2 linked regions of the Nothobranchius furzeri genome follow. Each later gene encodes a partner of the first gene's protein in a complex. Links are inferred from orthologs where the notes say so. Each region holds a gene or a part of one and is shown on either strand. Other genes may lie near its edges.

Region 1 (4,649 bases):
ACTAGATATCCGAGCGCTAAGCAGCGCAGGGCGAGGCTCCGCTCTCACTTCTGGGTGTGCTGCTCCCCTTTCTGCTCCGTCAGACGTCGCTTGGCCTCCTCGTTCAGGTTATTGGCCAACTCCTTCTGGTGAGCCCGCCTCTTCTCCTCCGCCGTCATCTCGTTCTGAGTTTGTTTAAAAACAGCGTTTTAACAGAAACGCGTGAGGGCGGCGTTTGGGATGATGGGCACAACACACATGCAGAAAACCTCACGGCCAGATTCAGATGAGAAAATGAAATAAAAACAACCAAAATGAGACAGAAACTCAAATTCAGATGAACTTTTTCTCATCTCATCTTTTCCTTTTCTGAGTCAGCTTATTTTAGGAAAACACGGACTCACCTTCCCAAGTAGCTGATAGAGTACAAAGACATTCACAGGCTTAGTCAGAGAAGATCCTAAGATGGTCACATGACCACACGGACAGCAACACTCACTCTGGTTCTGTCTGCCAGCAGGGCGGCGCCACGGGCTCCCTTCCCCAGCAGCTCCTCGGCGTCGTTCTCGTCTTCCTCTTCATCCTCCTCGTCTTCTTTCTGCAAGCCAACAGGTGTAAACATTTCACCGCCGTGACGCTCAACAAGGCAGCTGGCGGTGTGGGAGTGTTCCAGCGGGGAGTGAGGGAATCTGTGGATGTGCTCAGGGGCTGCACCTACCACGGCTGATTACATCACAGCGAAGCTAACGATGCCGTCCACTTTTAAAAGTGACTCCAAATGTGGACCGTGGAGTCTGGTGTGTCCTGGTTTGTAAAGGCTGTGCCAGGATTGGCTGTGGGCCAAACGGGATTTTTTTCTTCTAGTAACAACGGCAGAGGAAGCGGGAGACGGTTACGGTTCTAAGTGCTGATCCGGAAGCAGACGACCCGTGTATCAGCACGTCGTTTTGGGAGTCCGCTGAGCCTAAAGCGAGGCGCAAACGGGAAAAGCTTCTGCAGCTCACGGATGGTCAAAGAACGGAAAAATCTAGAAACACGCAGACTCTTCCCGATGTGAGAAGTGAGTCTACTCTTTCTTTTGGTACCTTTGGTGTTTCAGTGGTCGTAGAGCACAATGCTCTGCGACTCACAGTAAAAACGCTCAAAAACACATGCAGTCATTGGGTTTCTGATCAGAAAACAGCTGGCAGCTAATCAGTAAAGATTCTTTTTTTAATAGATCTTTTTATTACTTTTTATTATAGACGAGTTTCCCACTCAAAGAAAGTTAAAGTGTGAGCTCGGGTTGCTTTGGGAAGTTGTTTTAATAATACAAACAACAAAACACACACTAGAAGTTACTGAAGGACACCGACCTTTAAGAAGATCGCCACGTTTTTTATCTTTTTCTTCACAGGTGTGAGAACTGTGGCCGCCTCGTCCTGGAACACACACACACACACACACACATCAGGATCAGAGCAGAAGAAAGGAGCTCCTCGTATGAATAAAACCATCCTGACCTCGTTGATTTGAATCGTGTCGCCTAGAAACAAGGCGTACTTCTGCTCGCCTTTCTTGCCGTCCTTATTTAGGAGGTCTGAGAAGCCCAAACTGATGCTCAGCACCATGCCTGGCACACACACACACACACACACACACACACACACACACACACACACAAACACACACTTAACAACACCAGGTGTAAATGTAAACACTCTCCCTCCCAGCGGTAAAGTCCAACGCCTCACCTTTCTTCAGCTTGTACTGGTTTTTAGCGTTCAGAACCAAGGAGCCTTCCCTGAACTCGATCCCCATCGCAAACCTGAGAAAAATAAAAGCCGGAGTGTTGGAGACGGTCTGAGTGAGCGGCTGGAGAGACGGAGCCGTGTGCGAATGTACCCGAGGTTTTTGGTCAGCTTCCCCACGAGCTCTGGCTTCTCTTTCTTCACGTACTCCAGGACGGCGTTGTAGGCGTCGCTAATTTTCACACCTGAGGAGTTTAAAAAGACGCGTTTGTGCCGTAACCCTGGTAACAGTAAGCTAAAGCCGGTAAATCACAGGGCTCTAAACGTCAGGGATTGGTGTCGCTCGACATTTGCATAAAAGCTGCATCAGTTTTATCTTCAGTTTAAATACAAAACATCATAATCCAAAAGCAATAAATCAGAATAACCGCAATAAAGTATTTAAACAACAGTTTACTACTTGATGGTTTAGCGAGCGCCCAGAGCTCCCACAGCCCCAGCCGGCCCCTGAACTCACCATGCTTCAGCTCCGTCAGAAGCTCCTCCTCCACCTGCAACAGAAAGTTGTAGTTGTCCTGCATTTCCTGCGAGGGGTCCACCATAAGTGTGCGCACCAGGTTGGAGCAGTAGGACTTGTAGCGGATGCCCATGGCACACGTGATGGCACCAAAGTGCATGTGGTTCTTGTCACTGGTGCAGAGAAGGGACGGGTCAGGGTCGAGGTTCTGGCTCCACGCGTCGGCAGAAAAATCTAATCGCTTCTGAGTCCTTTGTTTTGATTAATCTGTTGACTTTCTTTCGTGTAAAGTTAAAGGTTTAAACTCTGCAGCAAAAGCAGATGCAGTGACATCTAGTGGTGTTACAGGTGAATTACAACCAGCTGAAAAATAGATCTGTTATGGATCGTGTGTTTGAATATAAACAGAATAGAAAACATGGAGTAACCACCCGCCACAATAGAAAATTAATTGAAAAAATAAAACTGAAATAAAAATATTTATATTATATTCAATATATGTTTGTTTCCCCTCATTCATTCGTCTATTTTGGTGCACTTCTGCTCTTTAGGCCAAACTTATTGCACTCTGAAATTTGCTGCTAATATTTGAGCAGATTGTACCTGATAATTGTCTACAGGACTATTTAAACTTTCATAAAGTATTTTAATTCTAATCTCTAGAACAATCAGACAGATTAGAAGTTTTCTTCAGACCAACGCTCCACATCCTTCTGTCCACTGAGACAAATCGATGGAACACAGAACGAAAAAGCTACCTGACGACGCTGAACTTGAGGCTGTAGTTGCCGCCGCTCTGAATGATGGGAGGGTAGCACATCTCTACCGTGGACGGGTCGGCGCCGCCCAGGTACTTCTTCTCCTCTATGGCCTTCTCCACCGACTCGGCCAGCTTGCTGTGTCGGACTTTCTGTTGGGAGGAAAAAGAGACGAGGAGGGATTACAGAAGGAATGTTTTACCTCAGCTGGACGAATATGTCCGCCATCTGTCTAGACAAGGATGATTTTTCAACACTTTTAGAGAAAGTCCTTAATTTCATCAAAACCCTGCTGTAACACATCCTGATCCGTTTGTTTTATTTGATTAAGAATTATTACAAACTAAAATATCCACGTTCTGACCAGGACATAAAAACGTCAGGTGAGCTCGAGGCAGCAGTAACGTCATGTACAGGTTTTTACTGCCAGAAGAATTAAAGACATAAAAAGTTCTTCAAAATAAAGCAGCTCAGATGTACAAGAATCAAAAATCGGTATTGGCTTTAAAAATAATCTATGCATCTCATTAAAATAATCTATTGATCTCGTCTGATTATAAATTGGGCAGCAGCTTGGATAACGGACAAGAAAAAACTAAACTTTAATCCCTCTTACAACACTTCTGGCTTATAAATTTTAAATAAAAAACAGATTTATTTGTAGGGATGTCCCATTCTGATATCGATATCGGAAATAATTCGATATCGGCCAAAAAACAGTGTATCGGATTATATCGGACGGCATCAAAAATCTCCAATATAAGTGGTCCGTTAAGGTTCACATATTTGCAAGTAATGGTTAAAAAAGTGGTCGTTTTTTTCATAGTTACTGTTATTGGCTAACGGAGTATAGAAATCTGTAATAAGTATTACATTCATTCATCTTCAAATTACTAATTGATGCATTGATTGCGTGCCACGCGACAGCTCATCCAGGGTTTCCCTTACATAGGCGTAGCCGTGGCGGCCCGCCACGGCTGAAATCCCACCGTCACGCCTGCAAGATCCCCCCTTTTTTTTTGCGCCATTTCCCGAAGAAGCAGCGGGAACTACTATGTTGTCGCTTGTGATCACAGCCGGCGGGCAGCAAGGAGGAGCAGGCAGGGCAAGGTGAAGTTACAGCATAAGTTACTGAGTTTAGAATTAGAAAGGTAGCAGTGGATATAATGCTTTGTGGTTTACATGTTTCAATAGCATTAAGATAAACGAGTGTTGACGATCTTGACAGGGTTTCCTCCAGTGCTGACTAGGCCAGGTTCTCCTCCCCCCACCAAGCTAAGCATCACTTATTCATGTAAAATTTATTTTTTCATGTCTGACTTTAACCGCATCTAATACTGTATTACGGCGTGAGCGCAACGGCGACAACTGAAGATCGATGTGTGAGCAGCGTGAGAGGTCGGGTGTTTTCATCTGAACCCGTAAAACCTCCAGCAGCTACGCTGCACTATTGACGTGTTAGCGCGCGGCGCTAACAACTTAGCGACGTGACATGTCTCGGAGAAAGCGTAAAAACATGTTGGACGCTTCTTCTGAAGCGGGAAAATAACACCTCTTCTTAAGCAGAGCACGACGCCGCCTCGGCTCGTTCACGGCCGAGCCGGACTGAGCTCGATAACATTGACCCAGCACAGCCACTGGGTCGTTGGAGCTGCCCCGTGACTG
Region 2 (5,247 bases), on another chromosome or scaffold:
GGTCCTTTCTTCAGTCTAGTAGTGGCAGCAGTCGGGCACACCTGATTTATTTATTTATTTGTTTTAATCGGCTTTTAAAAATAATTTCGGCCGATATAGAAAAAACTTGAAATTATCGGTCCGATCTATCGGTCAGCCTCTAGATGGGACAATGTTGGTTATACAGACCTGGTCTGGGTTGGATGTTGAGCAGAAAAGCATCCTCAGTAAAACATGCTGGCTTAACGAGCTTTTATCTCCGTTAATAGCTCGCTCAACAAAGTTCCCTTTAATGCCATTTGATTTTCTTTAACACATAATGAACACACAGGCTTTCAAACCTTTTGGACATCTCCTGTGTTTTAGTTTGAACAATTTTTCCTCCACAGTTTCAAAGATTTCTCTTGCTTATAAAAAAGTTTGAGTCTGAAAATGGCTGCCCTCTCTCGCTCTACGCTGCCTGTGTGCACAGCGTTCAGACCTGCTGATCAGCTGATCTGAGCGCCGCCCGACAACAGGGAGAGGAATATAATAAACCTTCAGCCTCATTTTACTGTTGTTGGCATAAAAATAATAACAATAAAAAGAAACACAAACAGGAACATTGTAACCTCCATTTACTTTGGACAGAAAATCAAAGACTGCACTAAACCGTCAAAGATGGATGATCCCTAAACCCATAACTAGAGGAATGATGGTAACCAATCACACAACGGGGACACGTGTTATATATTTTAGTAAGCCAAGTTTTAATGTAATGATGTAGGATCCTACACCCAGTAAACATTTAGTACAAATAGAAAAAGCATGTACTCTGTAGGATTTCGCCAGCATTGTCTGCATGGTTGACCCAGAATTCAGAGCAGATGTAAAATACCATCAGCTGCTAGATTTCTACACACGAGGAACTTGGATTAAAACAGATTCTTATTTAAGGTTTTTAAGGGTTTGTTTGGTAGAACGGGGTCGTTTGGGCATTTTAGGACATAATTCACTATCAGTTATAAAAACAGCAGAAACAACTTTAAAATATTTTGCTCCTTTTTAGATTCAACATCAAAGTTTAAAGCAGAACCACAAAATACTGACCTCATCTCAATTAGCATTTAATAATCATTCTGTTAAATGATGATTTACATAAAAACTGAGTTATATTCTATTTTTCATTTGACTTAAAGGCAGCTCCATCAGAACATCCCACTATACAAACATGTTTATCCTCATTTGGTCCTTCGTGTTGAGACGACGTTGGTAATTGTAAAGGTGTTACTTATAACTGCTCTTTAGAGAATGCTGTGTGGTGCACTAATCCGTGTCACAATAACATTTAATGTAAAACACTAAGATATAAATATACACACTGTTCTAGGGGTGGTGGGTATAATCTATTTTCTGATGCATCAATGTGGGCATAAATGATTCTGAATGGATTTAAAGATGTTAAAAAATAAATAATTTACATAAACGGTAATTAATGACACAATGCTGAGGGACGCAAAAGGCAGAACCTTTAGGAGCAGAGGTGCAACATCTGGACCGTTTAGGAGGAGCTCACATCACAAACGAGTTCTGCCCATGAGGGTCAGGACATCCTGGGTTTGATGATATCTGGAACTTAGCTGTAATTTAAATGTTCTGAAATTAATTTGAAGTGATTCAGACTCTTTTGAGGCTAAATGTGAATGTTTTCTATTCTGATTTTTTTGTTGGGGGGTATTTGTGTACTCTTATCAGATATCAAAATGGTTAAAAAGGCAAGTCTTCAGTTTAATTCACAATAATTCACATTATTCAAACTCCAGTTTGTATTTGTATATGAAAGCTGTGATTTCAAGATGGGAACATGAAAAGATTGATTTTGTTCCATTCGTTAAAAAATTACTGAATGTAAATTAATTTGGGGTTACGAAAACACTTTTCCATAAAAGTACCTGATGCACACCAGTCACACAGAGGAGAGGTGAGGGGAAGACATGTTTTTATTTATTTATTTCTGTATGAAACTATCTGATCAATTAAATGAAATCACAAGGGGCCTTAAAGATTATTTGCTACTAATAAGATGCTTTAATGAGGAAAAAAAAGAGTTATTGCTGATTTCTGAAGGAGTGTCTGAATCACATTTGATAGATTATGATAAAACATGACGTTACTCCTGCCCTATGACACGAGTGATGTAAACTTGTGTTGGCAGATGAAAGCATACATCACAGATACAGTGGTCAAATGAACATCCTCTTGGATCTTCTTGACTAAATTCTGATGCCATGTTGATATTCAGTTGACACCTTCAAATAGTAACAAGGGGAAAAACCTTCTGAAATTGACTTTTTTTTGTGATTTAAGGATACAAGTGTTATCAGATAACCAGGATCCTATCATGCTGTGGGTTACATACTGAACGTGCAAACACACAATCATTTAGTAGAGATGTAAAATAAAAGGCAGGGTGAAGGAACTGACCCAAGAGCCTTTGACCTCCTGGTAGATCTCGTTGAACTCCAGTGTGTCCCCCATGTCGGCTCCAGGCGATGACTGACGCTCTATACACAGGTAAACGGCATCAGTTCCAACCAAACATCAACAAGTTCATTACAAAATGAAATATTCTGTGCTGTTTTCCAAATGTTAGTCATTCTGAAGCATCGAGACGCTCAGATGATGATTTTTATCTTAATGGGACCTTCCTGGTTAAACAAAGATGAAATCTGACCTAACGTTATCTCAACGGTTACGTTTGCTTATTTTTTTTACTGTGTGCCCATTTAAAATAGTTAAAAATCTACCCAACAATATTGTAAAATACAATCTGAAGAGCAGAAATGTTTACAATCCCACCGTGACACAAGTAAAGGCTGTGTCACTCCGTTTGTCAGCACCATCAAGCATGCTCCATCACTCACAATAGCTAAGCTAGCATAGGTGCACTTGCTACGCTTCTTTTGAGTACCGATGTTTAACCGAGTCGTAATTTTGGTTGTAGGAAATGGCACGAACAACAGCACCGCCCCGCAGCAATGCAAAGTACACCGAATCGAGCGCAACAAAAAAAGAAGCTAGGCCGGTTTTGGAAAACAAGTACTATTTTATGGTCTACATAACAAAGAAATCAAATTCAGTTGAGGCGCGTGAGCAAACCTATCTTCTGTTGATTAGTTTCTCTCACAAACAAGTTTTTATCCACAGGAGAAAAGGCAGTTTTTTAAACGTAGACTTACAATCACTGAGATGTGCAGATTCGTTTCCCGCGTGTAGCATCAGGAGCTAGTGTGACGTCACAGGAAACAACAGCAGGAGTATGCGTTTCTTTCCGGTTTGCCAAAAGGTTTTTTTAAGCATTCTATATTTTTTGACTAAACACTTTCCCATTTGTATAAGATGTAAATGTGTTTGTATTAACGAGTTTTTAAAGATATATCAAACTAATAGTGGCATGATTTTACGGAGTCTGCGCAGACCAGAGAATGGTGCAGTGACCCCGATATACCACTACAGGGCGCACAATCCCTCCAAGAGCCTGAAGAGTCCTGTCGTTACTTGTGTTATAAATCTCTTGTTAGAAGAACATTAAATACTGAGCGAAGCGACGCAAATTTGGTTCATTTTTGCTTTAAAATACATTCAGATGTGCTAGCCACAATCTATAGTGTGAACAGATATTCACGTTTTCATTTTACAAGAAAAAGGCAAGAACTGGTGTTACAGTGAGGATCGGATCAGATTAACCTGCTGAGGTAGCACAGTTTGGAAACGAAGTCTGATACTTGATAGTAACTTGATTAAATAAAATAATGCAAGAGGATAATAGTTAACAAAGTACAGAAATACAATTAGAACACAGGGCCCGAAAGCCAGTCATAATAGCACCATGTCAGATGAGTGTGCTTTAGTGATCCACATAGTCTCAATTAAATATCTTGTTAAATTAAAAAAATAAATAAATAAAACAAGAGTTTTGGGTCTCCCTTCGATTAATCCTGAGGATCTGCTGTCAGTCCACATTAACAAGGCCACAATTCAAACGCATACCCCGCGTGACCTGAACAGATATGGAAAACCTGCCAGATTAAGGATTTTTTTTTCAAGAAACTGCTGCATCCTGCCAGATTATGTGAGATTGGAAAATGAGATCAATGTCGTCTGTTGTTAAACAAAAGGTTTAAACAGAAGAGTTGCTTAAAACATTTAAATGTGATTAGTGTATGCGTTTCTTATATTTTAAACACGCAATTTTAAAGAAAATGTTTTTGTTTTTTTTGCGACAAATTGGAAATGATGGATTAAACGCAGACGAAGTGTTTTCATCATTTACAGTAAATTTTAAAGCGTTCCATTAAAACGCGTCTTTCTCTCCTTTCTGAAGTTAAACGGTCCCTCTAATCCCTGTTTCCTGGAGCATTTGGATCGTGGAGTTTCTGCCCTGTCCTCCTGGCCCGAGGTGACCCGATCCGGGCCGAGGTGAGTCGATCCGGTCCGACTCGTTACCTTATTAAAGGGAAGCAGATTAAAGATCAAACGCCGCTGTCAGCTCGCGTTCGCGGAGATGAGAGACAGAAATGAGTTGTGACAAGTCCCGTGGTTCGAGCTGAGCCGTGATGCGTCAACCTGGTGAATCACCGCAGAGGAGGAGAACAGGGGAAGAAGAGGAGACAGGGATGGAAAAGAGGGGAGGAATGGGAGAAAAAGAGGAGGAGGAGGAGGTACAAAAAGAGCTCCGCCGTCATTCCGTCTGTCACACAGACCACACAAGTCAGAGGATAAATTTAAACGACGTCCTGAGGAAGGTTACTCTCAAATTTATTTTTCTTTTTTTTATTTTGAACAAAAAAGTTCGTTCATCCTGTAAAGACCGAGTCACCACATCACCTGTGTTAAAAAGTTACGAATTTCTTTTTAGTTGAGATTGGAATTAACGGTTCTGGAGACCATGAGAAGCTTTGGTAAAGGTAAGATCATGAATCTAGTTATCTTATTAAAACCTGTGGATATAAATCATTATTATTACATCTTTTAGACACGTATTGCATTAAAAGTCACAAAACAGATTATTCTTAAAAAAGCAACAAAAGACTATTTACAATAGTATTTATAGACAAAAAAGGACTTTGTCAAATTAAACGTTATTTATTTATAATGTCACTAATACTAGTAATAGTAATTATTATTAGTAGTAAACAATGTTTTTTAACAATAGAACAAAAACAATTAAAAGTGTGTGTGTGTGTGTGTGTGTGTGTGTGTGTGTGTGTGTGTGTGTGTGTGTGTGTG

The links.
Region 2: supt16h (region 1) and ssrp1a share a complex: the UniProt entries of both Homo sapiens proteins name them as parts of the FACT complex. The link is inferred for Nothobranchius furzeri from reciprocal best matches to the Homo sapiens genes SUPT16H and SSRP1.

Annotation. Positions count from the first base shown.
Region 1 is NC_091742.1:80,394,574-80,399,222, reverse strand, and holds part of supt16h (FACT complex subunit SPT16), read right to left. Parts: intron 3,137-4,649; coding exon 2,985-3,136; intron 2,400-2,984; coding exon 2,227-2,399; intron 1,955-2,226; coding exon 1,864-1,954; intron 1,787-1,863; coding exon 1,713-1,786; intron 1,592-1,712; coding exon 1,482-1,591; intron 1,401-1,481; coding exon 1,335-1,400; intron 578-1,334; coding exon 479-577; intron 165-478; coding exon 49-164; intron 1-48. UniProt on the Homo sapiens protein: Component of the FACT complex, a general chromatin factor that acts to reorganize nucleosomes. The FACT complex is involved in multiple processes that require DNA as a template such as mRNA elongation, DNA replication and DNA repair.
Region 2 is NC_091741.1:91,653,380-91,658,626, reverse strand, and holds the start of ssrp1a (FACT complex subunit SSRP1a), read right to left. Parts: upstream 3,285-5,247; 5' UTR 3,198-3,284; intron 2,925-3,197; exon of another isoform or gene 2,818-2,924; intron 2,523-2,817; 5' UTR 2,497-2,522; coding exon 2,443-2,496; intron 1-2,442. Other genes in the region: uncharacterized protein clcf1, read left to right, coding at 4,907-4,925. UniProt on the Homo sapiens protein: Component of the FACT complex, a general chromatin factor that acts to reorganize nucleosomes. The FACT complex is involved in multiple processes that require DNA as a template such as mRNA elongation, DNA replication and DNA repair.